Linked DNA regions of Callithrix jacchus. The protein of the gene in region 1 interacts with the protein of each later gene in a pairwise test. Links are inferred from orthologs where the notes say so. Each region holds a gene or a part of one and is shown in the gene's direction. Other genes may lie near its edges.

Region 1 (3,712 bases):
GTGCATAGTAGACATGTAGTGAATCCCTTGTCAGCCCTTGTCCAACTGGGGCAATTCCTTTGGTTTTGATGACTACTACTCATTGGATGCTATTTTGTGCTGGACTTTTGCCAGCCCAATTACTATATGTGCTGTCGAAGCGAGCATTGCCGGCCCAATTACTTTTCTTTCTTTTTTTTGAAACTCTGTTGCTCAGGCTGGAGTGCAGTGGCATGATTTCAGCTCACTGCAGCCTCCACCTCCCCAGTTCAAGTGATTTTTGTGCCTCAGCCTCCCGAGTAGCTGGGATTACAGGCATGTACCACCACACCTGGCTATTTTTTATATTTTTAGTAGAGATGAGGTTTTTCCATGTGGGCCAGGCTGGTCTTGGACTCCTGGCCTCAGGTGATCCTTCCGCCTTGGCCTCCCAAAGTGCTGGGATTACAGGGGTGGGCCACTGTGCCAGGCCCATCTTAGTTTAATTTTTACCACAACTCAGTGAGGCCAGTTGTATTTTTCTCATGTGATAGATGAATAAAATGAAACACAGGAAGGTTAAGATGTTTGCCTAAGGGTGCACAGCTAGGAAGCTGCCAGCTCAGTTGGCACCCTGAGGGGTTTGTCTTTTTTTTGAGATGGAGTCTTGCTCTGTCGCCAGGCTGGAGTGCAGTGGCACGATCTTGACTCACTGCAACCTCCCACTCTCTGGTTCAAGTAATTTTCCTGCCTCAGCCTACCGAGTAGCTGGGATTATAGGCAGTTGCCACCACACCCAGCTAATTTTTGTATTTTTAGTAGAGACGAGGTTTCACCATGTTGGCCAGGCTGGTCTCGATCTCCTGACCTCGTGATCTGCCTGCCTCAGCCTCCAAAGTGCTGAGATTACAGGCATGAGCCACCATGCCCAGCCTCGAGGAGGGATTTCTTACAGGAGGAGTCTTTTTGGCCTCACCTGTAGTTAATCAGGAGCCTCTTGCACATGAAATTGAACCTAGAGAGACTCTACTCTGAAGTATGGGGTAAACATATTGGTTTCTCATGTAATAATTTAATCAAATTGTAATGTTCTCTTATATGGTAAATTCGTTACTTCAAACGCTATATTTATTGAAGGAATGTATTTAGAAGTTAGGTAAGTGTGAATTACTTGTGGTGAATGAGTAGTGTTTTATTAAAAAAATAAGGAATTTAAAAAACAAACAAAAAAATGACACAAGAAAACAGACTTTAGGCTGGGCGCGGTGGCTCACACCTATAATCCCAGCATTTTGGGAGGCTGAGGTGGGTGATCAACTGAGGACAGTTTAAGACCAGACTGACCAACATGGTGAAACCCCGTCTCTAGAAAAAATACAAAAAAAAATAGCTGGGCGTGGTAGCATGCACCTGTTAGTCCCAGCTACTTGGGAGGCTAAGGCAGGAGAATCACTTGAACTCGGGAGGCAGAGGTTGCAGTGAACCAAGATTGTGCCACTGCACTCCAGCCTGGGCAACAGAGCAAGATTCCGTCTCAAACAACAACAACAACAAACACAAATTAGCCAGGTGTGGTGGCGCATGCCTGTAATCCCAACTACCCAGGCGACTGAGGCAGGAGAATCGCTTGAATCTGGGAGGTGGAGATTGCAGTGAGCTGTCTCAAAAAAAAGAAGACAGAATTTAAATTAAGACATGTTTTAGATACATGCATTAATATAGCAGCCTTTGGGTTTAGTTATGGAATTGACTCAGTCTTTTTTTTTTTTTTTTTTTTTTTCAAGATAGGGACTCAGTATATTGCATAGGTTGGTCTTGAACTCCTGGCCTCAAGCAGTCCTCCTACCTTTGCCTCCCAAAATACTGAGATTATAGGCATGAGCCACCATGCTGGCCAGGATTAACTTTTTTTTTTTTTTGAGATGGAGTCTCACTCTCTTGCCCAGGCTGAGGTACAGTGTGAGCCACCATGCCTGGATCAGAGCAGCCTTTCATTGAGGGCTGACGTAACCCCCCTACTCTGACATGACCCTTCTGAAGATGCTACTGAATGCTCAATGTTACAAGTTCTCTCCACTCTGGCTGGTAGTGACATGAATTATTTCTAGCCCTCTGGAAGTTCTGGGTATTATTAGATCTACTCCTTCTTAGTGATTTTTTTCCCTGGCCTCTTGAAGTTTCATTCCATAGAAGAGAAGATCAGTACTTAGCCAGAGACTCAGGGGGACCCCTCTGCTGATCTCTGGAGCTCTCACTTTCTGTATAGTTCCCTCTTCTCTGATATATGGTTTCTCTCAATTTGGGTGTGTCTGTTTTGTCATGATTGGATTGAAGTTATACATTTGAGGCAAGAAAACCACAGAAGTGACATTGAGCCCTTATCCGTTTGGATAATTTTACCTACTGTTGGTCTTCTGTGTTGTTTTATTGCTGTTAAACTAAAAATTGTGTTTTCAGTGGATGTCTTTTTTCATGTATTTTTCTAGATTCCAAAATGAACCTGAATGATTTCATCAGTATGGATCCCGAGGTAGGGTGGGGCACTGTCTACACACTTTCTGAATTTACACATTGGTTTGGCAGTAAAAACTGCTGAAGTTGGCCTCAAGATATGGAACTGTGGAAAAATTCTAGGACACGAACATGCTATTCCTCCACTGAGGACAGCAAACACTAGGGTAGAGTTGGCTTGGAATTATGTCTTTCTCTTTCAGTTCGATTGAGTGGAAACCTGAGTGAATACGAATATAAATGAACAACATAAAAACTTTTGTTTTGACATGTTAAATTGAAACTTGATATCTAGTGTGTACTTGCTAAGATATTCCTGTGGCTTATTTGTTAAAACATGTGGACTTAAGCCAGTGATCGTTTTTGTTCAGATAGAGGTATGGAGGTTGAGCCAGCCCCTCATATCTGTCTGGATGTTTTGTGTCTCTCCAACTACATTGTAAGCTCCTTGAGGGCAGACCCATGGTCCATTGTTCTGTGAATCTCAAATGCCCATAAAAGGTGCCCATAAAATGTTTTCTTTTTTCCTTTTTTTTTTTTTTTTTAGGGAGACTCACAGACTAAAAATGTTTTCTTGAACATTTGAATGTGCTGTTAGGAAAGGGGTGATATTGTGAGCTGAATCAGCAAGAAGTATTAGTCTTTTTGGACTATGATATTGTTAAAAAGAGGGCAGCCCTCTCAGACTTGAGTGTTATTTAGCTTATTTATTTATGGCTTTAAATAAAATTGATTTAACACTGGTTTTGTTTTGAAGGTTTTTGTGTCACCCTTGATGATTTGAAATACCTAAAAATGCCTCAATTGTAGGTGAGAACCAGGGCTTTAAAACATATTTATCACATGTACCTTCCGGAAGACATCTTGGTCATTTGGCTTTAATCATATTCCAGATAAAAGATATTTGGCATTAAACTGGTGTATAGTACCAACTCTCATGTTTTCATGATTCTGCTTTAAAAATGAACAACTTCTTACAGCAAGATTATCTGACCTTTTGTTCTTAGATTTCTATTTATTAAGAGACTGTTGGCTGGGCATGGTGGCTCATGCCTGTAATCCCAGCACTTTGGGTGGCCAAGACACAGGTGGATCATGAGGTCAGGAGTTCGAGACCAGCCTGGCCAACATGGTGAAACACTGTCTAAAAATACAAAAATTAGCTGGGTGTGGTGGTGGGCAACTGTAATCCCAGCTACTCGGGAGGCCAAGGCAGGAGAATCGCTTGAACCCGGGAGGCAGA
Region 2 (3,500 bases), on another chromosome or scaffold:
TTTTATGTCATATGCTATCTGAAATTGTATCTTTATATTTTGACTTGTATTTGTTTGGCAAAATTGAATATGAGCATTTTCTATTTCTTAGTGGATAGTTACAAATGTTTAAATTCCTCCATATTTTTAGCTACACTGGAAAAATATGCAATATTGAAAAGATGGGGCTGGATGTGGTGGCTCACGCCTGTAATCCCAGCACTTTGAGAGGCCGAGGCAGGTGGATCATGAGGTCAGTTCAAGACCAGCCTGGCCAAGATGGTGAAACCCCATCTCTACTAAAACACAAAATTTAGCCAGGTGTGGTGGCACATGCCTGTAACTCCGGCTACTCGGAAGGCTGAGGCAGGGGAATTGCTTGAATCTGGGAGGCAGAGGTTGCAGTGAGCCAAGATTGGGCTACTACACTCCAGCCTGGTAACAGAGCAAGATTCTGTCTCAAAAAAAAAAAAAAAAGAAAACTAAAAGGAAAATAAAAGAACAAGCAAAAAAGAAAAAAAGCAAAGCAGGAGACACACAAACAAACAAATGCATGTAAAGCAATGTATTTTTTCTTTTTTTAGAAAAGATGCATTGCTTTCATAAATTTTCGAAAATGTAGGTCTTGTTCTTGTAATTGCAAGGGAAATTTCAGAGTGAAATTATGTTCTCTATCTTTTCTTAGGTCTTAACGATAAATATGAATTTAGATTCCATTCATCGGTTAATTGAGGAAACACAGATCTTCCAGATGCAGCAGTCATCAATTAAGTCACACTGTGACATGGTGGCACCTGCCTCACCCACCAGGGATACCTATAATACCTGCTTCCCATTTTATGGGCTACAGTCTCATGCTGCTCACAATTTATGTGCACATTCATGTAACACCAATGAATGGGATATTTGTGAAGAACTTCGCCTCCGGGAACTTGAAGAAGTCAAGGCCAGAGCTGCTCAGATGGAAAAGACCATGCGGTGGTGGTCGGACTGCACTGCCAACTGGAGAGAAAAATGGAGTAAAGTTCGAGCGGAAAGGAACAGTGCCAGGGAGGAAGGAAGACAACTCAGGCTAAAACTAGAGATGGCAATGAAAGAATTGAGTACACTGAAAAAGAAACAGAGTTTGCCACCTCAGAAGGAGGCATTAGAAGCTAAAATCACCCAGGATCTGAAGCTTCCTGGTTTCGTAGAAGAATCCTGTGAACATAGAGAACAATTTCGATTTGGTTTTCAAATGTGTGAGTCTATCAGAGAGTGTTTAGTAAAAAGACAATTTTCTACAAAGGAGGAAACAAATAATAAGGTAAGAAAGAATCCAGAGTTGATGTGAATTTCTGAATGTCATACGTAGTGACGGGAGGAAGAAGGAAGTGACAAATCCAGTGGTGACTATGCTAGTCTGCCAGGGCTACCGTCACAAAGTACCCTAATCAGGGTGCTTTAAGCAACAGAAATGCATTTTCTTACAATTGTAGAAGCTAGTAGTACACGATCAAGGTGCTAGCATGGTTGGTTTCTTCTGAGGCCTCCCTCCTTGGCTTATAGAATACTGATTTCTCCCCGTGTCTTCCATGGTCCTTTCTCTGTACACATGTCTGTGTCTTAAGTTCTTTTAGGACAGTCTAATGAACCTAATTTAACTAAATCATCATCCTAAGGCCCTGTCTTTACTAACAATCACATTCTGAGGTACTGGGGGCTAGGACTTCAACAAATAAATTTTGGGAAAGCACACTTTCAGCCCATACCAGTTGTTTTACTAATATTAATAGGGAAAAAAACTCAACAATTTTTTATCCGAAAAGAAAATATTTGGAGACATTTCTTTCCATTTACCTTAATTTGTCAAAATTGTGAACAATCCATAGTGTAGTTTGAATATTTCTCAAAGTTTGGGACTCAAGCCTCATGATTAACTTCTTATAAAATGGGTACTGCAGGCAAATAGGGTACTTTAGGAAATGCTTCATATGGTCCACACTGATGGAATTTCTTGATATACTTAGAATATCAGTTTCTGAGAATTCTGCACAAAACAAGTGTAACTTTAAAACGTCTATCAGTTTGTACACTTATTCACCCATGAACCGCCACTCTGTTTTGTTTGTTTGAACTTGGTAAATACTATTAACAACCCAAAGAACATACTTTGGGAACTCCTGTTACCTCTTATCATAATATCAGTTTATTTTGTTACCTCTTTTACTTTATCCCACCTCTAATACATATTAGTTAATATCTGGCACCACTACCATTGCATTTAGTGTTTTAAGCCATTCTATAACATATAGAATTTATGGTAGATAAAAACTAGAATTCATTGCAAATAAAATAATGAAGAAGATTACAATAATGTAATTACTTCTTCTTATTTGTTCTTTTACATTTTCTTTTAAAAGCATTCAATGTTGATAATCTAGGCTGTTAGTACCTTTGTATGTATCTTTTGGAAAATCATATATTCTCGAAATTCAGCTATATTAATGTATGCGCTAGAGGAATGTAATGACAAGCATAAGGGAATGTAGCTCACATAATGTTCTCTGAATCCACAAGACTTTTTTATTATTACAAGTTACTAGACTTTGCATTTGAGAGAATGAAGGATTCTCTTCACATGTATTATTATGGAAAATTCTCAGTATCTTGGGATTTCTTCTGAAATATCTTTGTAACATTAATGTCAAGAAGAAATCAAACATAGTAGGTATTTATTAAACTTTATTTATTTGCAAAAAATCCTTCTGGAATTTCCTTCTGATAGTAGGAAAATAAATATTACCTGTTGAAGAAGTTTTAATCATTTTTTTCCTTAAAACTTTGACCTAACTTTGCCAACTCTATGCCCAACAAGAAAGATATGTATATGTATCATTCATCTGACTTCAATACTTTCCATGAACAATACATCTTATTTTATTGTTTGTCAAAATATTATGATACAGATAATTGCAATACTCATTCTTGAGAGAATTGAGGAATGAATTATACTAGGTAATCTGGCACCCATATATTATTTAAAACATAAAATATTGAAGCATTCTGGAGATTTTACTTAAACTTGATTATTCAATGAGATTTTATTTGAAATTGTCTTTCACTTCGAACTTATAAACTAGGGTAAATTTAAATTATAGTCAAATACCAATAGCATGAGTCCTGTGAAGCTTTTGAGTTACGCACTAAGAATATTGACGCAGTTGCTGCTCTAGTATTGATGTCCGTATCAAGTGTCCCATTAAATTCTATTTGAGATGTGACTCATTAACTAAAATAAAGCAATAAGTGAGCTTATTGAAATATTCAAGAGCTTTCTGAAAATTCTATCGTCTTTCAAAAATGTTACAAAAATAATTACTTTGAAACTATGTCTTTCTTATGACAAAAGAAACTTGAAAAAGAATTCATCAACTCATTAAAAAATTCTTTTCAGCTGTTCAACTTTGTGCATGGTTATTTTTAGCTATGATTAGAAAAAGAAAACAAACAAAGAGGTAAAGCAGACCCTTTTAGAAATG
Region 3 (3,960 bases), on another chromosome or scaffold:
ATAATTTTCAGCCCCTTCTTCAGATATTGAAAGAATAGATGGTAGATGGGCCCACTTAAAATAGTTGCTGTTATAACCCCAAGTTTTAGCTGAGTCTCTCTAGGGACATGGAAACTAATTTCTCAAATGACTGATTGGTGCCTGAGTATGGATTTTTCCAGATATCAGAGTTCCTGTGATGATTTTCAGTCTAAGAAGACCTAGATTCTAGGTTACACACACACTCATTGTTTTGAATAGCAGATACAGGGTTTCAGTGTTTTAGTTTTACCCTCTGTGGGTTCTAACCCAACATCTCACTAAGGGCTGAGATTTCAGGGCATGAAAAACAGAATCAACAAAAACAAGGTTTTTACAATCTCAAAACTTTGGAAAACTGCTGAGTTATCTTGAAAGCCTAGAGGTTTTGTAGAGAATCCGGTGAAACAATATTGATGCTTAAGGCTGACCACTGTCATTCTCTCCTGAGTTAAACCCAACAGGACATGCTGGACTACATAGGAGACATTCGTGGACTCCATGAAGACCAGATGGGTAGTGTTCTTGAAATGAGCACATGTCTATTTGCAGAACTCTGGTAGTAGCTTTGGAGTGGGTGGGAAAGAGCTTGGCTCCAATTTCTCCTCCAAGACAATTATTTGATTCTGATCCAATCAACAAGTGGCCATTGAAAATGCAGTGATTGGTCAGCAAACGAAGCCTACGGTAGGAAGAGCCTTCGGGTGCATGTATTGTGACAAATCAACCCGTCCTAAGCCCGACGCTTAATTACGGAACCTCTCAGCATCTCCCTCCCGCCTCGAGCCCGCTTTTGGCTTCTCACAAGGCTTCCTGGGGACAATTCCCCTATGCCAGAGTGAGTACTCGGGGTCTGGGCCCGTAGGGAACCCGTCAGCCTCCCTCCTGGAGCTGGCCTGATTGTAGCAAGGCGCCCGCGCAGCGCGGAGGCGGGAACCCATCGGGGTAGTGGGGGATCGCGCTCCGGCGCCGCCCAGGCGCGCAGGGCAATGGTGTGGTCGTGCGCGGCTGTGGGCGCGGGCCGACCTAGCGCGTCAGCCAGGCCGCCCCCGTCGGCCCTCCCCCGGGCGGGGCTAGCTCCGACGTCGCTGACTCAGCAACGCGAGGGGTAGTTTTGTCCCTCCGCGGACCCCGTTTCTCCCGACCTCAGACTCCTGGCCGCCGCAGCAGAGCCGGTTTCCTTCTTCCGGCGCTCCGGGTGTAAGAAGCCGGTCGGGCCACCTAGGCAGCGAGCCGCAGCGCAGTCCCGGAGCTCGCCCGAGGACCCTGGAAGCTACCGTTACCTCGCCGGGCACCGTGGGCGCCATGAGCAGCGCGGGTGAGGCGCCGCCGTGGTCCTCTCTGGAGGAGCTCCGCGGTCCTCGTGAGGCCCGGCGGCGGGGAAGGCTGGGGGCGATGGCGGGGAGGGAGCTTTCGGGGCAGGCTGGAGCGGCCTGGAGGGGCCCTGAAGGGAAACGGCGCCTTGGAGGTGGATGCTGCTCCTGGGTTTCCCCGCTGCAGCGGGCACCTCAGGATGCGCTTACCAAGTTAGATCCGGGATGCGGGAGCCCCAGATCAGCTCTTTCCCCCGGTCTTTTTGGCATTGAAATCCCGTTTGGTTTCCCAACAGGACTGAATTCGGAGAAGGTAGCTGCTCTAATACAGAAACTGAATTCCGACCCCCAGTTCGTACTTGCCCAGAATGTCGGGACCACCCACGACCTGCTGGACATCTGTCTGAAGCGGGCCACGGTGCAGCGCGCGCAGCATGTGTTCCAGCACGCCGTGCCCCAGGAAGGCAAGCCCGTCACCAACCAGAAGAGCTCAGGTATGGGCTTCCACTTCTCCCGTACTTTTCCTTGACCTTCCTGACAGCATCCCATTTTGGTGTCTTTACGAGTGGTCTTAAGTTCGTACTGAAAGAGCTGGTCGTAAATTCGTAGAGAATGAGGTACAGGTACAGGCAGGTCTAAGAACATTACCCATGTGGTTTGTTTTAGTGTACTGTGGCTTGTTAGCACATGCGGTTAGAGTACTAAAGTGACAAGTCCGTGAGCATACGTTTGAGTGTAATTCACTATATTATGTCCTGATGTTTACGTGGTTTGTAGCCCATGTCTTGCAGATCGATGGTCTTGGTCACAAAACAGAGCATTGCGGAAATGTTCATATTCTTGGAGGACTCTCCAGAAATGCCCTGAAGGCCCTATACAAATTTATGAAATAGGAAAGATACAATGTAATTACATTAAAATGCCATCAGGTGTTACTTTTAAAGCTGCTTCTTGGTTACAACTGAAGCTAATGTGTTGATGGGCTCAGTTCCCACCAGTAGATCAGTTTGTAACACTGGAGAAAGTTCTGTTCTCGTGTCTTACTGGTCAAGAAGTCTCGTTTTGCTCTCTACTTTCTTACACCACTCTCAGAAAAACAGCTACAGTGAAAGATTGGATTTCTAGGGATCTAATTAAGGAGCACATTCTCACCACAATATTGTAGTAAAAGGATTTTTAAAAAGTCTTTATCTACTTAAAAACGACTCCCAGTCTATCTGTATGAACAGGAAGCACATTAGTGCTTGTTTATAGTCAGTCAGAACTCACAAAGCACACGTTTCACGAATACATTTTATAGTATGTACGTTATACATCAATAAAGTTGATTTTTAAATGTTAAGGAAAAAGTCAAGACCTTACAATAATTAGTGTTTTGCTCTAGAAGAAAGTGCTTGGAGTGGTGTGAACTCTCAGGCTACAGATGATCCAGTTGGTAATGTTACAGTGGTCCTACATAGTTTAGATTGCAGTGATCTCTTAGGGAACAGGTCAGGTCTTACACATTTTGCAGTGTTACTTTAATATATACAAAAGATTCAAATAGCATGTGAGCTGTGTACTTTATTTTCATGCAGTTTTCACATCACCAGTGCATCCAGATCCCTTCTACTAGAAATATGTAGCATATAGAAGAGAGGTTGCATACAGATAAATCTAAGGAAAAGATGAACTATAGTAAGGCACTAGTGACTTTCAGAAAACACTATAGTTAACTGTAGAGTTTTTTTCTTGTTACAAAATTATTTTTGTTTAATGTACAATATTTACAAATACCAGGTGAATATTTTTGCTATATATTTGTCAGGTCTTTGTGTGTGTGTGTGTGTGTGTGTGTGTGTGTGTGTGTATGTGTGTTTAATGTGGGTTGATAGCCTATACATTGTTATGTAGTCTACCTACTTTTTTCACTTACCAATATATTATAAACATATTTTCATACCAGTAAAGTTATACCCAATACAACTCAAGGTTTTTCCTTCAGAATTTTCCTTCAGAGAAGAGAGAATTACCCTATATTTAAGACCTTGAAGACTTTTCTAATGGGCACTCTCAGTTAATTTATTTTGAAGTAGAGTACAATTTGGAGAAGACTTTATTCTGAAAAACCTCAGATGCATACATTTTTGCATGCTTACAGAGATCCTTTTATTGAATCAGCTTCTTTTAAAAGGTGACAAATTTGAATAAATTGATGTTGTAAATAGACCTTTTAAATGAAGACCACTTAAGTCAGAACAGGAAGTGGTGACGTGGAGTTTGTGATTATACACATACAGGACACATGAAGAATCTGATTGTGTAGTTGATGCTTGGTATAGAATTTTCAGGGACAGCATCATGCATGGATTCAAAACATTGCTGTGACTCAAACATTCTAGATGGAAGAAAGATGACGTGTGCCGATTGAAAGAATGGATCTAATGATGGCACAGATACTGACTGCTAGGTACATGTGAAGATTGAATCAGTGTGAAAATGACATGTAAAGTGGGAAACACAGTGCTTCTAAGTCCATTTATTATGTTAACATGATTTTAAATCTAAGATATATTTAAATTACTAAAGTATTGGCCAGATGCTGTGGCTCATGCCTATAATCCTAGAGCTCTGGGAGGCTGAGAATAGG
Region 4 (4,293 bases), on another chromosome or scaffold:
GAGTATGGAAGCTCCCTGTCTCCCCATCCTCAATATCTTGTCCTATGCATCTCTCCTACTTAGCTGTTCCTGAGTTGTAACCTTTATAATAAAACTGTAACAGGCCGGACGTGGTGGCTCACGCCGATAATCCCAGCACTTTGGGAGGCCGAGGCGGGTGGATCACGAGGTCAAGAGATCGAGACCATCCTGGTCAACATGGTGAAACCCCTGATATGTGTAGCTGATCAATCAGAAGTACAGGTGGCTCAGATTTCTGATTGGCATCTGAAGTGAAGTGGGCTTGTGCAACTGAGCCCCTAGCTTACGGGATCTGATGCTAATGTGATTGGGCAAAAGGAGCTTGATGCCTGATGTGCCAGAGGCCAGTACCATGACACTGGGCTTTGGATAAAAGAATAGCTTTATTTTGAAAGTGAACTCCAAGAGATAGACCAGGGTCAGCAGAATCAGAGACGCTATAACTCCCTCTCCCATCTCCCACACCCACATTACAAGAAGCTTTGACTGAAGAAAATCTGCTTTTGGTAAAACCAAGAAGACGATTAATTACATTTCCAAAGATCTTTTTCATCTGAGTCAAGGAGTCTCTCTGTGCTGATATTAAGGCAGCATTTTTATTAGAAAAAGTTCAAGGAGTGGATTCTGAGATTAGTAGGTGATTCGTGCAAGGAAAGGGGAGGTCTGAAAAGTCCCTGGGCATGTGCAGTTACTTCTTCATGTTAACTCCTGAGTGGCGTGTGCAAATTCAGAGGGAGTCAGTACGAAACAAGGGTGGAAATTGGGGCTCATTCCATGCCAACTCCAGTCAGCCATCTTGGTTCTAACCCACTTCAGCCAGGCTTTTGATCTCGCAAGTGGAGGGAGTTTCAGTGTTTCAGAAGCTTCCTTCTTTTCTTATCTGCTGTCCTGCAAACTCAAAAAATTCTGTTACTGGTTTCTTACTCTTTGATGCTTTCCAGACCTCCCATTTCCATCCACCAATCACCTACTAATCTCAGACTCCACCCCCTGAACCTCCTTTTCCTATTAAAATGCGGCCTTAATGCCAGCACAGAGAGACAGATTTGAGCTTGACTCTTGTCTCCTTGTGAGTTGACTTTCAATATGAAAGCTTTTCTTTTTTAAAGAACTTAGTTTTAGTATTGTCTTCTATTGCATTGGCCAGTGAGCCCCTTCCGCTCTGTAACACTAACTCCAGGTAGATGGTGTCAGAATGAAATTGAATGGTAGGACACACAGTTGGTGTCAGAGAATTAAAGAATCGAGAGTGTCAGAAGACACCTCAGACTACACTTTCTCCCTTGGTCTGGGAAGAGTTTAGTTTGAGTGACCCAACTCCAAGAAGATACCACTTCTGGTGAAAGGACAGGACTCTCCACTGAGCCCGGCAGTGAGGACATGAATGCTGCTGGGATGACCCAACAGCGGGTGATGTTTGGGCTATTGTGTGTCATACTGACCCTGACCAGCCAAGTAGTCACAGCCCCCACAAGCTCTACCTGCCTGTCAGATGCCTCATTCCCACCTGTGACGCTCAGAGAGAAACCATGAGCTGTTTTGTGATGTCACCTCTGGAATGTTCTGAGTGTTTTGGTGACCAACTTCTGCATAGGACCTATACTTGGCAACTCACATTGGTATGGCTTTTTACTTGAGATAGAAATAATAATCTTAGACAAGCAGGTACAGCTATCTCTGCTTCAAAGACTTTCAAAAGCCTTTTACATCAACTCTATCTATCCTTTTTATTTTTTATTTTATTTATTTTTTTGAGATGAAGTCTCACTCTGTCACCAGGCTGGAGTGCACTGGCGTGACCTCAGCTCACTGCTACCTCCACCTCCCGGGTTCAAGTGACTGTGCTGCCTCAGCCTCCGGAGTAGCTGGGACAACAGGCATGCACCACCATGCCTGGCTAATTTTTGTATTTTTAAGAGACAGGGTTTTACCATGTTGACCAGGATGGTCTCGATCTCTTGACCTCATGATCCACCCACCTCGGCCTCCCAAAGTGCTGGGATTACAGCCTGAGCCACCGAGCCTGGCTATAATATCTACCTAAATATCTGTTCGGAGACTGATAAACCATCATATCAGATACCATCTACACATTCTTCCAGACTCAGATTTTCGTAATTGTACATAATTGACAAGAGGGAAATAAATGAGTAGGAAGTTCTATGTTTTTTAGGTGAGCAATTGAAACCCGGCCCAGAGGATGAGCTGGGAAGCTGCAATCTTCCTTTGTCTTTTCCACAGAACTCAAGGCCAGATTTTACAAGAAAAAGAGATCCCAGATCAGAAAGCCCAGAAATCCCAGTCAATGTGGTTCTACCTCAGGTAGGGGTAATCACAGAAGGATATAACTTACCAGTGTTACCCAGAAGAACCCCCCACCTCCTCCGTCAGAACTCTAGCAAGATGTAGAATAAGCAGAGATAGGGCTTCAGATTCTAGTTTGGGGTGGCTGCCAGCGGGCGGTGTGCTGGCGAAGAGCAGATAGCCGCTCCGGGCCTTGGGCTCTTTTCCCCACGAGTGAGGTGGCTGGGTCAGATGGTCTGGTAACCACTTCCAGTCCTAACATTCCGAGTTTCTGTGATACTCTGAAGTAGCCCAGCCTTCTCAAAACGAGATCTCTTGGTGCTTAGTGTTGTGCAATTGCTCTGGATTTCTCAGGGAGAATTAGAACTGGGACTGGAATCAAACGCGTAAGAATGAATCCATGAGAAGAAAACCTAGTCCGTGGACAAAGGGGCACAGAGTTATTTGGAGTCGTCGAGAGAATTAAGCCCTGCTGTGCACCAAAGGCAGATGTAAGGGCCATGGGCCTGGATGCTTTTGAGGTCAGTGAATTGGTGACGTCCTCACAGGCTAGAGAGTCTCGGGTCTCCTCCTGCCTGCAGTCAGCTGTTTCCTGGGGTCCTCTTGATTGAATTGTTTCTACTGCTGCTATGTCACAAAGGGGTGGCTTTGCTTTCTCCAGAGTTACCTAAGGCCGCCTTGGAAGGGCAGGGCCATGCAACCAGAGGGGTTGAAATGTAGGATGGAGGAATCCAGTGCAGAGGTAACTATCTCAGAACTCTGTCCAGGGATGTGTGGGAGGAGGACTGACCATTAGGACATTCCGGATGTATGGTGGTAACAGTCTAGCAAGTACGTTCCGCAGAAGGCACAAGTACGGAAGAAGAAAGCATTCTGGATGTTTGTTTTCAGGTTATCTTTATAACTTTGTCATGAAGAGTGACTTTTCTACTCGTTTTAGCTCATGAATCTTAGTCTGAATATAAGATAACTTCCTCCTGATCATTTGACAGGGTGACAGAAAGCTGATAACAAACTGTAGGAATCCTTTTGGGCCCGATTCCACCTGAAATACACAGGGATCTGTGTTGGCCCCTACTGCCCCGAGAGCTGGTGTTACTGCTGTGATTCTTTTTTTTTTGTTTGAGATGGAGTTTCACTCTCGTTACCCAGGCTGGAGTGTAATGGCGCGATCTCGGCTCACCACAACCTCCACCTCCTGGGTTCAGGCAATTCTCCTGCCTCAGCCTCCTGAGTAGCTGGGATTACAGGCACGTGCCACCATGCCCAGCTAATTTTTGTATTTTTAGTAGAGATGGGGTTTCACCATGTTGACCAGGATGGTCTCGATCTCTTGACCTTGTGATCCACCACCTTGGCCTCCCAAAGTGCTGGGATTCCAGGCGGGAGCCACCACGCCCAGCCCACTGCTGTGATTCTTTCATAGCCCATGTAAATCAATCTTTTCTTCCGGGGGCCTCTCACTTTACACGCTTTGAAATTACGTCAGATGGCTGAATGTTCTCTGATAGTAATCTCAGTAATGTTGGGAAAGGTGGTGTTTAAGAAACTTGGTCAGGCAGAGGGTGCCAACCCAGGGGTGGGTATGAAGGAGGGGAGAGGATTTGAAAGAGTAGTGTCATGTGATAGAGGGGCTGGAATGATGTTTCCACCCACGCCCACCACACTTTCCCTCCCCAGCTTCCAGAAACAGCCCAGTAGTCAAGGAGGAGAGGAGGTGGTTGAAGACAGCTCCAGCCTGTCTTGAGGCTGCCTGCTTCCTGTGCTGGAGGACCTAGTGTTGCTGCTGGGCTCCTGCGGGGAGAGTGGGTGGAGAATGAGAGTAAATCTCCTGCCTGGGAACCTGTACCTCACATGGGCACGTGCAGCCTTGTGTGTACACCTGCCAAGCGGGCACAAGCCACGCACCAGGTTATGGACACCTGTCAGGATGCTCAAGATTGGCACTCTGGGGGAGGGGTGTGGGTG
Region 5 (4,269 bases), on another chromosome or scaffold:
TGGGAAGTCACTTGAACCCAGGAGGCAGAGATCGCACCCCTGCACCCCAGCCTGGGTGACAATGAGACTGTTAAAAAAGTAAAAGAAAAACAAAACACCTTGCTTTCACTTTAAAAAATTTGTTTTCAATTCATCTATGGAACCCCTGGTACCTACAACTTAACTGTCTAGTGACTTTGGGGAAGTTAATTCCTTTTTTTTTTTGACAGAATCTTGCTCTGTTGCCCAGGTTGGAGTGCAGTAGTGCGATCTTGGCTCACTGCAACCTCTACCTCCTGGGTTCAAGGGATTCTACTGCCACGGTCTCCTGAGTAGCCAGAATTATAGGCTCATGCTACCACACACAGCTAATTTTTATATTTTTAGTAGAGTTGGGATTTCACCATTTTGGCCAGGCTGGTCTCGAACTCCTGGTCTCAAGTGATCTGCCCACCTTGGCCTCCCAAAGTGCTGGGATTACAGGTGTGAGCCACCGCTCCTGGCCTCTAGTGTTATTTCTTAAACTCTCTGAACCTTGGTTTTAAAAAATCCTCTAAATGAGGATAATAGTTCATAATTCCTAACTTTCGTCATGAAAATTAAGAGTTAATATATATTATGTGGGAGAAATGTAAATTCTAGTTCGAAAAATAAAAGAAATAATGTAAAACTTCTGATTTACTTACTGGTGATAAATACAAGGACATTTTTGTTTAGTAGTGGATATTAAAAGGCTAAGGTATTCATATTCCACTGGAAACATTTGAAAGAGTGATTAGCAGTTTTATTTCAAAATGTCAACACTGAGAACACACTAGGATTTACATCTTTTTTTTTTTTTTTTTTTTTTTTGAGACGGAGTTTCGCTCTTGTTACCCAGGCTGGAGTGCAATGGCATGATCTCGGCTCACCACAAACTCCGCCTCCTGGGTTCAAGCGGTTCTCCTGCCTCAGCTTCCCAAGTAGCTGGGACTACAGGCACGTGCCACCATTCCCAGCTAATATCTGTATTTTTAGTAGAGACGGGGTTTCACCATGTTGACCAGGATGGTCTCTATCTCTGGACCTCGTGAACCACCCGCCTCGGCTTCCCAAAGTGCTGGGATTGTAGGTGTGAGCCACCGCGCCCGGCCTAGGATTTACATCTTTTTCAACTAATTATGATGAAAACTTGTCAGTGAAATGTGTTACGACTGTTTTATACAAATCTTTTACGTCGATGAGTAAGTATCTTAGAAGTTATTTATCCAGAGACTCGCCTTAATTAGGAGACCCTACAGAGCGCCCGGAAGAAATGTAATAAAGGCATTTCACTTATTCCCTCGCACAGCCCTGTAGTGAAAATAATTGAATGAAATCAACCACATGCTCCGAGTTCTCGCCCTAACGTAGCCTGTAGTAGCCAGGTTCCACCACTAGGTAGCACACGCCAAAAGCTCCGAGGGGCGGGCCGCCCGAGTACGCCACTCGGTAGCCCTGTGGTATCTCTCGGCTTCCGTTGAGCACCGAGCAAGATGGCAGCCTCCGAGACGGTTAGGCTACGGCTTCAATTTGATTACCCACCGCCAGCTACCCCGCACTGTACAGCCTTCTGGCTTCTGGTCGACTTGAACAGATGCCGAGTCGTCACAGATCTCATTAGTCTCATCCGCCAGCGCTTCGGCTTCAGTTCTGGTGCCCTCCTAGGCCTCTACCTGGAGGGGGGGCTCCTGCCCCCTGCCGAGAGCGCGCGCCTCGTGAGAGACAACGACTGCCTCAGGTGGGCGGTGCGGGGAACGGGACGGCCGGGTGGGCGGCGGGCGGGGGACGCGCCTGCGCACGCCTGGGCCTGAGACCGCTAGGCCTGGATGGGGAGGGGGTGAGGGATAGGAAGGAGGACGAGGGATGGGGGACGGGAGGTGGGACTGTAAAAATGGACGTTCGCGAACCCCGGAGATCCTGATTGGTGTAGTCAACTTTGGGATTCAGGAACCTGTATTTTATTATTTATTTTATTTTATTTAATTTTTGAGACGGAGTTTCTCGTTGCCCAGGCTGAAGTGCAGTGGCGCAATCTCGGCTCACCGCAATCTCCACCTCTAGCGAGTCTTCTGCCTCAGCCTCCCGGGATTACAAGCATGCGCCACCACGCCCGGTTAATTTTGTATTTTTAGTAGAGATGGGGTTTCTCTATGTTGGTCAGGCTGTTCTCGAACTCCCGACCTCAGGTGATCCGCCCGCCTCGGCCTCCCAAAGTGCTGGGATTACAGGCATGAGCCACTGAGGCCAGCCCTTTTTGATACTGACTCCCAGTCTGTCACCCAGGCTGGAGTGCAGTGCTGCTATCTCGGCTCACTGCAACCTTCACCTCCTGGGTTCAATGGATTTTCCTATCTCAGCCTCCCGAGTAGCTGGCATTAAAGGTGGGTGCCACCATGCCCAGCAAATTTTTTTTTTTTTTTTTTTTTTGCATTTTTAGTAGAGATGGATTTCACCATGTTGACCAGGCTGGTCTTGAACTATTGACCTCAAGTGATCCTCCTGCCTCAGCCTCCTAAAGTGTTGGGATTACAGGGGTGAGCCACTGCGTCTGGCTGGAATCTGCATTTTAACGAGCATCCTTCCCGAGTTGCTTCTGATGACAGGAGGACCAAACTCGGAAAAACCCTGATGTCTAAGGGCAGGCCCAGGGTTTCTTTCAGCCTTGATTTAGCACATCGGCCCCTTAGCAAGCGAGGAAGGCACTGTTTTCCATGCCCATGGTGCAGGTGTGCGGAAGACCCAGCCTTACCCTTGGCGGCGTTCAGGGTCAGGTACAGGAGACCCAAGCTGACAGAGGGGAATCATCACATTTTCTTCATAACATGCTCCTGTCCAACTTTAGTTCTCATGTGCCTGGGTTCACTCAAATAGGTGTCTGAGTCCTTTCGGGCTGTGAATTGGGAAACACAAAATACTCTGAAATATGCTTTTGGAAATTAAAATGATAATAAGTTGAGGATCCAGGAGCAATTGTAGTATGAATTGCCAAAATGTGGTTGAGTTGCCATGGTAAGATGATGAGATCCTATGATTCCAGTTTGGATTCATATCTTGGACCCATTTATTCAGGCTTTTTCTTTTTTAAATAAAGAGACTGGGTTTCCCATGCCCAGGCTGGAGTGCAGTGGTGCAATCATAGCTTGCTGTAGCCTCCACCTCCTGGGCTCAGGCAATCCTCCTGCCTCAGCCTCCTGAGTAGTTTGGACTTCAGGCGATGTAACCAGGCATGGATAACTTTTGTGTTTTTTGTAGAGACAGAGTTTCGCCTTATTGCACAGGCTGGTTGAACTTGCGGTCAAGCTGTCCTCTTGCCTCAGCCTCCCAAAGTACTAGGATTACAGGCGTGGGCCACTACGCCAGCCTTCCCTCCACCCACCCCCTTTAAGCTTCAGCTACAGTGAATCAATTCCAGAGTTGTGAACCAGGCTATTTTCTCTTGCTGCCCTTTGTTACTGAATATTCCTTACCCTCGAGCATGTCAGATTCCATAAGATTTCTTCAGAACGTCAGGGAATTTAATTTGGAACAATAACTGCTTCTTCAAATCAAAATGTTATGATTTAATAATGTTCAACTGTTTCAAATGATGATTTGAAATAATCTAAATTTCAGAGGTTTTTTTTTTTTTCCTTTTTACTGACTGTGAAATAGGTGTCTATTCTCTCTGCAGTTCAAGGACTATTTAAATACTCAATTGTAAGTATTGTGTCCTATCTTATTAAGTGTATTTTTTGCACTGTCCCTTGCCTAATTAGTTATTAATCTGTGCCAGCTAACTATAATTATACTTTAATGAATCATCTGGGCATTACATTCTTCATAGTGAAGTTAACAATGACAAAAAAATGAAAACTCTTATAAGTAATAATTACAACATGATGACAGGCAGATTCTTCGTAAATGCTTCAAATGCACAGCTGCATGTGGTAAAAAGACCTCTGCAGTGGCTTCAGTGGCAAATGGGCAGTCTGTAGAAAAAGACGAATCTGGAAAATTCATCTTTGTTTTTGTTGTTTCAGGCCCACAATCATTGTCTTTCCCTGAAAAGTTCACTTTTCTTCAGAGCTACAGAAGAAAACATAGTCTCTGTTCTCAAAGTACCTAATATTGTTGGACTGGGACCAAAATAATGAGTTTCATGCTTCTGTATATTACCTTCTGTGACACCGGCAATTAGACTGACCAGTTAGACCAAGTTATACTGCTAAGTGCAGAAGTCGGTTGAGAAAGCAGACATCAGCATGGAACAAAATGGTTAGGGAATTGAGC
Region 6 (3,500 bases), on another chromosome or scaffold:
GGCTATGAGGGTTCTCTTATAAAGCTCACATCTAAACAGGTAAGAATTTCAAACTGGCATATAAAGATCACTTTTTTACTTTCTTCAGGAATGTTGCTGGGGCTTGATATTCTTTTTTTATTCACATTAGAATTTGAGTTTTGTTTTTTTTTTTCTGGTCTTTAACATTAAGAGTGAGTGAGATGTATTAGGAATTAGCACAGGAAAATGTTTCATAATTCTGTAGTCTTCAGCTGGAATTTCAGGGACTGTCCCAGAGCAAGATAAACACAGTAGTTTATTGAGATTGATTTGGTGAATCAGTGAAAATAATGGCTTATTATCTAAATTCACTTTTATTCCCAAGTCTTTCTCATTTCTTTTTATGATGTTAAACTTTTACAGTTTGTTTAACATCATGTCAGATAGTGAAGGATCATGCTGTCTGTCAAACCACTAAAGTAAGGCAGAGTCCCAAGTCTAGAATGGAACAGAGAAGGTACAAAATGGAAGTGGTAGTCAGTGATTCTGACAGTTTCCTACAAGTTTCTTAGAGATCGTAGCTATATTCTTTTTTTTTTTTTTTTTTTTTTTTTTTAAGTTAAACACTTGGCATACACACCTCTCCTCCAGTCACTGTTCTATCTCTCTGTTTCATCAAAAGAATGATCTTGGAGGCACACCCTTCTGGATTGATAGATGTGTGGAGGCCAAAGGGGTTATGGCCTTCCTGTATTTACTCAGAACAGCGTAATTAAGCACAAGATTTTTAAGGCATCCCTTGGGATTTGAGATAGGAATGTTCACTTTGTCATTTTGGTCATGCAGTGAGAGTCCAGGGGTTTTATCATTGTATCATTGTATTCCTTGCACTTACAGTGTACCAAAAGGTGATTCGGTTCTCTTTCCATTTTAAAAGATGAAGAAACTGAGGTACAGTGAATTTGATTTAGGAAAGTAGAGCCTCTCCGACCCAAGTTTTCCTCTATTCCCTTCTTCACTGCTGTTCACCTTTCAACCACTTCTAGATTTTTTTTATGATTCTCTAAATCCCCAGCTGTGCCCTTGAAGAACCACCCTCACCATCCCTTTGATTCATGTTAGAAATTTGGCTAAGCCACTGAGTCATGATTCTTCGGTATTTCGCTTTCTTATTTCTACCCATTGCCTGTGATCATTTCTTTGTCTTAGCTTTTCAGTTTGATAGCACCCTTAACCCAGAAAAATAGATATCGTCTGATTTTTTTTTTCTTCATATTTCTCTTTTTTCCTCAGCCCGTAGGTTTTGTCAGTTTTGACAGTCGCTCAGAAGCAGAAGCTGCAAAGAATGCTTTGAATGTAAGTATTAATGATGTAATTGTAGGGGGTTTCCATATGAGGTGATGGGAAGTAGTGGAATCTCTTTGGACGGGAATTCAAGTGGAAAGAATATGACTGCTCAATCTAAGAGAGAGGGATTCATCAATTTAGCCCTCTAAAGAGCTTTTTCCAAGAATTGTGATCAGATATGCTCAAAGTACCTGACATCTGATGATGTGGGTCTTATTTTAATCCAGCCCCATCCTATCCCATGGTGGTGTGTAGTGCTGCTTTGTTTTTTCCAGAGGAGATCATTGAGAGATTGGCTTGGTTGTCATTGTACTCTAAATGGCTACGCCCAGAACAGATAGAAATCCTGGCTTTTTTTTTTGAGACAGATTCTCACTCCATCACCAGGCACCAGGCTGGAGTTCAGTGGCACCACCTCAGCTCACTGCTACTTCCGCCTCCCTGGTTCAAGCAATTCTCCTGCCTCAGCCTTCCAAGTAGCTGGGACTACAGGTGCGCGCCACCGCACCCTGTTAATTTTTTTGTATTTTTAGTAGAGATGGGGTTTCACCATGTTGGCCAGGTTGGTCTTGATCTCTTGACCTTGTGATCTGCCCACCTCCCAAAGTGTTGGGATTACAGGCGTGAGCCACCACGCCCGGCCGAAATCCTGGCTTTTCTTATTTCATGAGGCTTTCCTTTTAGATATACAGCTTAAAACAAACAAACAAACAAACAAACAAACAAACAAAAAACTGGTCATAGCCTTTATTCTGGTTGATTAAAAATTTACTTATAAGGCTTTCCCAAAAGGCATGTGTGTTAGAATAAATTACAGTCATTTGTAATTAAGTAGATATACCTGTATTTGGTTTGTAGATATGTTGTTTGCTGTGTGTTTTGAGACTTTTGCCAGTATTGTTTTGGTAAATAAGTTTCTTCTTTCGTATGTTGGAAAATTAAACAACTTAAGGGAATTAAGCTTAGAGAAGGTGAAAGGAAGCAGAATGTAGTTTCAGATGCTGAGGATGAATCCTCATGTGCTGAGTCTCTGTGAGGTCTGGCTCCATCATGCTCTAGGCAGTTGGCCTAAGTGGCTATGAGCAAGGGCTGATTAAAGCACTAAGAGTGTTAAGGATGCTTCCTAAAAGGCAAGCAACCACTTGACTGGTTGCAATACAGGTACCATTTTGGAGGCTTCTGGGAACTTGTGTTTGGTCTTTGTGTTGCTGTGTTACCTTAAGGTACCCTACTGGCTAGCTGCTCCTTTGAGCAGACCATGTAGAGGGGTGTTGGAAATACCTGATATAGGTAATGACTTGGAGGTCCAAGGAAAAGTCTTTATATGAGTCTGTTTACTTTGTATAATAGTGTCATTGATACACAACATTGAAAGATTTTAGACTTTGGAACAAAAATGTGTACACTCTGGGAAGAAGCTGCTTAATTGTTGTTGTTGTTTTCATATAAAACACATAGGAACACCTTAGGATTCCAGGAATTCCACAGTCCAGAATTTTTCTGGATTTGGCTGGTCAGAATAGCTGCCTACTCACTCTGTTCCTCTCCTGTAGAACAAAGCAGAAACCAGTTATTTATTGAACACCAATGGTATACACTGAACCCCGGTATATAATGGAATGTTTTGATTCTGCATTAAATACATAAAACCTGAATTTTCCCAGTATAATGACACTTTAAACTTGAAAATAGAACCACAGTTTCAATTTAGCAGAAATTGAAACTTTATTTTAACTAGGTGGACACCTTCTAAATGCAGAAATATTCTGGGTCCTTTAAAGTTATGTTAGATGAAGTTTTCACCATGTTCTTTTCATTGTTCTTACTAAGGAAGTAACAAGCAGTTGAAGCATCACAGACGTGGCTCTCACTGCTTTACTGTAGTTCTCATGTGTGTATAGAGATGTCACTGACTCATTTTCCGAGCAATAGGCTTTTATTGTGACCTCTCATCTGACAAGGCAGCATTCCCTTAGGTGGTAGGTTGCATTTTTGTTTTGTTTTGTTTTTTTGTAAGATAACTTAAGGAGTTTGTTGGTTTGTTTGTTTGTTAAAAAATAAAGGCAGGTTGCCCGGCCTGGTCTCAAGCTCCTGGACTAAAGCGATTCTCCTGCCTTGGCCTTCCAAAGTGTTTAGATTACAACCTTGAGCCACCACACCCAGCCCGAAGGTTGTTTTTTAATATTTAAATG
Region 7 (4,040 bases), on another chromosome or scaffold:
CAGGGCGCGGGACTCCGCGTGGGGACCTCGGTCCCGCCCCCCAGCCTGTCGAGTACAGCTGAACGGTCTGCGACCTTGGCCGAGTCGTCGCCTCACTGCGCCGCCCCACTGCCCCTCCGTGGCCGGCACTCTCATCCTGAAAATTCCACAGCACACACGGAAACCGTAGCGCCGGGAGCCCCGCGGGGTGTAACCGAAGCACCGCGCTAGCAGGTGCGGCCAGGCCGGTGCCGGGGATGACAGGTCTTCCCGCCGAGTCTCCAAGCGAGGCGTGCGCGCCCGGGACCAGCCAGCCTGTGCCCAAACCCACGCCAGCCCTGACCCCCTGCCTTTAACTGGCCTCGAAAACAGGGAGGGGATTCCCCGCGGCCTCCCCAGACTGGGGAGCCGACCTTCAAGAAAGTCAAGATTATGGTCTCTACCTCAGTTTCCCTATAATGTCTACAGGTGAGCAGCATGAAACAAAGGCCTCGCTGCGCACCGCCTACTCAGCAGATAGGGGGCGGGATAGCCCCTACCCGGAGCCTGCGCCTGGGGCAAACCGGGCCTGTGATTTCAGGGACAGGGATGTGTCGGCTCGGGTAGAAAGGGGTATCGGGCTCCAAACCCACGGAGACCCGGGGCGGGGCGCCCCGTGGAGGGACCTGTGGGGTAGTGGCTGCGTTCGGGGACGGGAGGCTTCTTCCTATGGTGACCGGGGCGAGGTGAGGGCTCCCCCGCACCTAGAAACGCCGAGCGCCGGGGATCCCCGCCGCGCCCCTCCCCCAGCCCGGCCCGGGCGTGGAGCCCGAAGGGAAAGCCCGCAGGGGACGTCCCGGGGAGCAAAGCCCCGCAGCGTGGCCCGGACCGCGGGGACCCACCCCAGCTCCCGCATGGCCCCGCCCCGGGTCAGGCAGTTTCGGGGCGCAGCCCGGCCCTCCCCACACGGCAGTCCCGGGTCGCAGCCAGGCCCGTCAGCCCTTCGGCCTTCCGAGCGACCCCGGGAGGGAGACCCCACCCAGCCCCCCTCGCCAGCCCCAGTGTCGCGAGCGCGCGGGGGTGGCGCAGGCGGTGCCGGTGGGAGGTGGTGCGGGCTGGGGGCGGGGCGGACCGGGGCCCCACGTGACCAGGCCGGGCGGGCCAATGAGCGCCCGGCTTTCGGAAAGATCGCCATATATGGACATGTTCTGGGGCCGCGCGCGCCGCCGGGCCGCGCGGGCGCGCTGCTTTCTCTTAAAAAGCGGCGCGGGAGGCCCCAGTCGGTCTCAGTCGCCGCTGCCAGGTCGCGTACGGTGTTCTCTTGCTGCTCCGCTCCCCTGCTCCTCTGCTGGTAAGCGCTCCTCATCGGACCCGAGGAGGATGTTTCTGGCCGTCCCCCCTCGACCCCCGCGGGCCCCGCTTTCCGCCGCGGACGCTTCGCCGCGTCGTTTTCGGGAACAAAAGGCTGGCTCCGCCTGGGTGGGCCACGCGGGTACCGTTGGGCGGATGCCGTAGGTTTAGGGCGGGGCCCGGCCGCAGTGCGGAGTTCGGGGCGGTGGGCTTTACGTAAAAGGCACGGGTGCTGGTTCAAAGCTGTTGTGGTGTTGGAGGCTTCGGCTTCCGGGGTTGGGGTGGAGCGTAACGCTCCTCCGCCGGAGGGTCTTGGTTGGCTCTGGGTGGCGGGGTTGTTTTCCAGCGGGCCCCGCCTGAGTCCGTCGCTTTCCTGGCAGGTCGCAATGGAAGAAGAAATTGCTGCGCTCGTCATCGACAATGGTTCCGGCATGTGCAAAGCTGGCTTTGCTGGGGACGACGCCCCCCGAGCCGTGTTTCCCTCCATTGTCGGGCGCCCTCGGCACCAGGTGAGTGGAGGGCGCCACGGGGCTCCTGGGTTCTGCGCTGCGGGATGGGATCGGGGGCCGCGGCGAGCCTGATGGCAACTCCCTGCAGGGCGTGATGGTCGGCATGGGCCAGAAGGACTCCTACGTGGGCGACGAGGCCCAGAGCAAGCGCGGCATCCTGACCCTGAAGTACCCCATCGAGCACGGCATCGTCACCAATTGGGATGATATGGAGAAAATCTGGCACCACACTTTTTACAATGAGTTGCGTGTGGCCCCGGAGGAGCACCCCGTGCTGCTGACCGAGGCCCCCCTGAACCCCAAGGCCAACAGAGAGAAGATGACTCAGGTGAGGCTCGGCGATGCCCGTGCTCTCGTCCGTTTTCCTAGTCATTTTCTGCCCAGCTTGATTTCTGACATTTAAGTGTTTCTTTCGCTGTTCCAGGCTCTGTTCCTCTCCCGGCATTTCCTCCCTGAAGCCTCCAGGTTTCTTATTTGGTTTCTGCCTGCGTTCTTTTCTGTTCTCCACACATCACACTGGCATGCAGCATGTTGTGGCGTGTGAGCATGGGGTGGTCGCGGGTCCTTGCCCCTGACTAAGCCGTCTCGTCTTCTACCTTCAGATCATGTTTGAGACCTTCAACACCCCAGCCATGTACGTGGCTATCCAGGCCGTGCTGTCCCTCTACGCCTCTGGGCGCACCACTGGTATTGTCATGGACTCTGGAGACGGGGTAACCCACACGGTGCCCATTTATGAGGGCTATGCCCTTCCACACGCTATCCTGCGTCTGGACCTGGCTGGCCGGGACCTGACCGACTACCTCATGAAGATCCTCACGGAGCGCGGCTACAGCTTCACCACCACGGCCGAGCGGGAGATCGTACGCGACATCAAGGAGAAGCTGTGCTATGTCGCCCTGGACTTCGAGCAGGAGATGGCCACAGCTGCATCCTCCTCCTCTCTGGAGAAGAGCTATGAGCTGCCTGACGGCCAGGTCATCACCATTGGTAACGAGCGGTTCCGGTGTCCGGAGGCGCTGTTCCAGCCTTCTTTTCTTGGTAGGTGTTCAGTCTAAGGGCTTCTGAGAGCGCTTTGATTCTGGGCACCATAGCACCACTAAGGGAGGGCTTTGTCCCCTAGGCATGGAATCTTGTGGCATCCATGAGACCACCTTCAACTCCATCATGAAGTGTGATGTGGACATCCGCAAAGACCTGTACGCCAACACTGTGCTGTCTGGCGGCACCACCATGTACCCAGGCATCGCCGACAGGATGCAGAAGGAGATCACTGCTCTTGCGCCCAGCACCATGAAGATCAAGGTGAGTTAAGGGATCGGTGGCCCTCGGCCTGGCTCAGGATGCCTGGCTGGGGATGCTGTGTGAACTCAAGCCATGCCTGGCTGTCTTTGCAGATCATTGCACCCCCAGAGCGTAAGTACTCCGTGTGGATCGGCGGCTCCATCCTGGCCTCACTGTCCACCTTCCAACAGATGTGGATTAGCAAGCAGGAGTACGATGAGTCTGGCCCCTCCATCGTCCACCGCAAATGCTTCTAAATGGACTGCGAGCAGATGCGTAGCATTTGCTGCATGGGTTAATTCGGAAGTATAAATTTGCCCCTGGCAAATGCATACACCTCATGCTAGCCTCATGAAACTGGAATAAGCCTTTGAAAAGAAATTGTCCTTGAAGCTTGTATCTGATATCAGCACTGGATTGTAGAACTTGTTGCTGATTTTGACCTTGTATTCAAGTTAATTGTTCCCCTTATTTGTTTAATACCCTGTACATAGCAGATTTCAACTTTTAGTACATGTGGCTTGGTCACTTCGTGGCTGAGGTAAAAATGTGCTTGGGGGCAGACAAGTCTGCCTTGGTGAGTGCATGGCCAGCAGTCTCTTAGTTGAGCAGGGTATTCATGTGTCAGAGCTTAGTGTTCTGGGATTGCTCTAGAGGCTGGCAAGGGCTGCCAGTCTGTCAGGGTGGGAAAGTCCAAGCCATAGGACCCGGTCTCCTTTCTTACCTGATGTTTTCCTGCCAGAGCACCATGGGCTGTTACTTGCCTTGAGTTGGAAGCGGTTTTCATTTACACCTGTAAATGTATTCATCCTTTTAATTTATGTAAGGTTTTTTTTTTATTGTACACAACTGTCAAATCTTGAAAGAGATGACAACAAATTTCGGTTTTCTACTGTTATGTGAGAACATTAGGCCCCAGCAACACGTCATTGTGTGAAG

What was found.
Region 2: the proteins of NTAQ1 (region 1) and CCDC102B interact in binary tests that used the Homo sapiens proteins (3 or more experiments, as listed by UniProt). The two-hybrid records come from large-scale screens. The link is inferred for Callithrix jacchus from reciprocal best matches to the Homo sapiens genes NTAQ1 and CCDC102B.
Region 3: the proteins of NTAQ1 (region 1) and BLMH interact in binary tests that used the Homo sapiens proteins (3 or more experiments, as listed by UniProt). The two-hybrid records come from large-scale screens. The link is inferred for Callithrix jacchus from reciprocal best matches to the Homo sapiens genes NTAQ1 and BLMH.
Region 4: the proteins of NTAQ1 (region 1) and CBY2 interact in binary tests that used the Homo sapiens proteins (3 or more experiments, as listed by UniProt). The two-hybrid records come from large-scale screens. The link is inferred for Callithrix jacchus from reciprocal best matches to the Homo sapiens genes NTAQ1 and CBY2.
Region 5: the proteins of NTAQ1 (region 1) and COIL interact in binary tests that used the Homo sapiens proteins (3 or more experiments, as listed by UniProt). The link is inferred for Callithrix jacchus from reciprocal best matches to the Homo sapiens genes NTAQ1 and COIL.
Region 6: the proteins of NTAQ1 (region 1) and RBPMS interact in binary tests that used the Homo sapiens proteins (3 or more experiments, as listed by UniProt). The two-hybrid records come from large-scale screens. The link is inferred for Callithrix jacchus from reciprocal best matches to the Homo sapiens genes NTAQ1 and RBPMS.
Region 7: the proteins of NTAQ1 (region 1) and ACTG1 interact in binary tests that used the Homo sapiens proteins (3 or more experiments, as listed by UniProt). The two-hybrid records come from large-scale screens. The link is inferred for Callithrix jacchus from reciprocal best matches to the Homo sapiens genes NTAQ1 and ACTG1.

What each region holds. Positions count from the first base shown.
Region 1 is NC_133517.1:73,963,403-73,967,114, reverse strand, and holds the end of NTAQ1 (protein N-terminal glutamine amidohydrolase), read left to right. Parts: intron 1-2,444; coding exon 2,445-2,554; 3' UTR 2,555-3,212; downstream 3,213-3,712. UniProt on the Homo sapiens protein: Mediates the side-chain deamidation of N-terminal glutamine residues to glutamate, an important step in N-end rule pathway of protein degradation.
Region 2 is NC_133514.1:111,492,655-111,496,154, forward strand, and holds part of CCDC102B (coiled-coil domain-containing protein 102B), read left to right. Parts: intron 1-664; coding exon 665-1,285; intron 1,286-3,500. UniProt on the Homo sapiens protein: During interphase, forms fibers at the proximal ends of centrioles to maintain centrosome cohesion. During mitosis, dissociates from the centrosome following phosphorylation to allow centrosome separation. Contributes to CROCC/rootletin filament formation.
Region 3 is NC_133506.1:103,329,405-103,333,364, forward strand, and holds the start of BLMH (bleomycin hydrolase), read left to right. Parts: upstream 1-1,160; 5' UTR 1,161-1,323; coding exon 1,324-1,336; intron 1,337-1,627; coding exon 1,628-1,825; intron 1,826-3,960. UniProt on the Homo sapiens protein: The normal physiological role of BLM hydrolase is unknown, but it catalyzes the inactivation of the antitumor drug BLM (a glycopeptide) by hydrolyzing the carboxamide bond of its B-aminoalaninamide moiety thus protecting normal and malignant cells from BLM toxicity.
Region 4 is NC_133506.1:164,856,529-164,860,821, forward strand, and holds the start of CBY2 (protein chibby homolog 2), read left to right. Parts: upstream 1-1,493; 5' UTR 1,494-1,550; coding exon 1,551-1,640; intron 1,641-2,262; coding exon 2,263-2,343; intron 2,344-2,374; exon of another isoform or gene 2,375-3,019; coding exon of another isoform or gene 3,020-3,067; exon of another isoform or gene 3,068-3,107; intron 3,108-4,293.
Region 5 is NC_133506.1:109,380,970-109,385,238, forward strand, and holds the start of COIL (coilin), read left to right. Parts: upstream 1-1,469; 5' UTR 1,470-1,493; coding exon 1,494-1,738; intron 1,739-4,269. UniProt on the Homo sapiens protein: Component of nuclear coiled bodies, also known as Cajal bodies or CBs, which are involved in the modification and assembly of nucleoplasmic snRNPs.
Region 6 is NC_133514.1:31,625,894-31,629,393, forward strand, and holds part of RBPMS (RNA-binding protein with multiple splicing), read left to right. Parts: coding exon 1-39; intron 40-1,254; coding exon 1,255-1,317; intron 1,318-3,500.
Region 7 is NC_133506.1:137,174,493-137,178,532, reverse strand, and holds the start of ACTG1 (actin, cytoplasmic 2), read left to right. Parts: upstream 1-1,240; 5' UTR 1,241-1,309; intron 1,310-1,688; 5' UTR 1,689-1,694; coding exon 1,695-1,817; intron 1,818-1,905; coding exon 1,906-2,145; intron 2,146-2,419; coding exon 2,420-2,858; intron 2,859-2,940; coding exon 2,941-3,122; intron 3,123-3,214; coding exon 3,215-3,358; 3' UTR 3,359-4,040. UniProt on the Homo sapiens protein: Actins are highly conserved proteins that are involved in various types of cell motility and are ubiquitously expressed in all eukaryotic cells.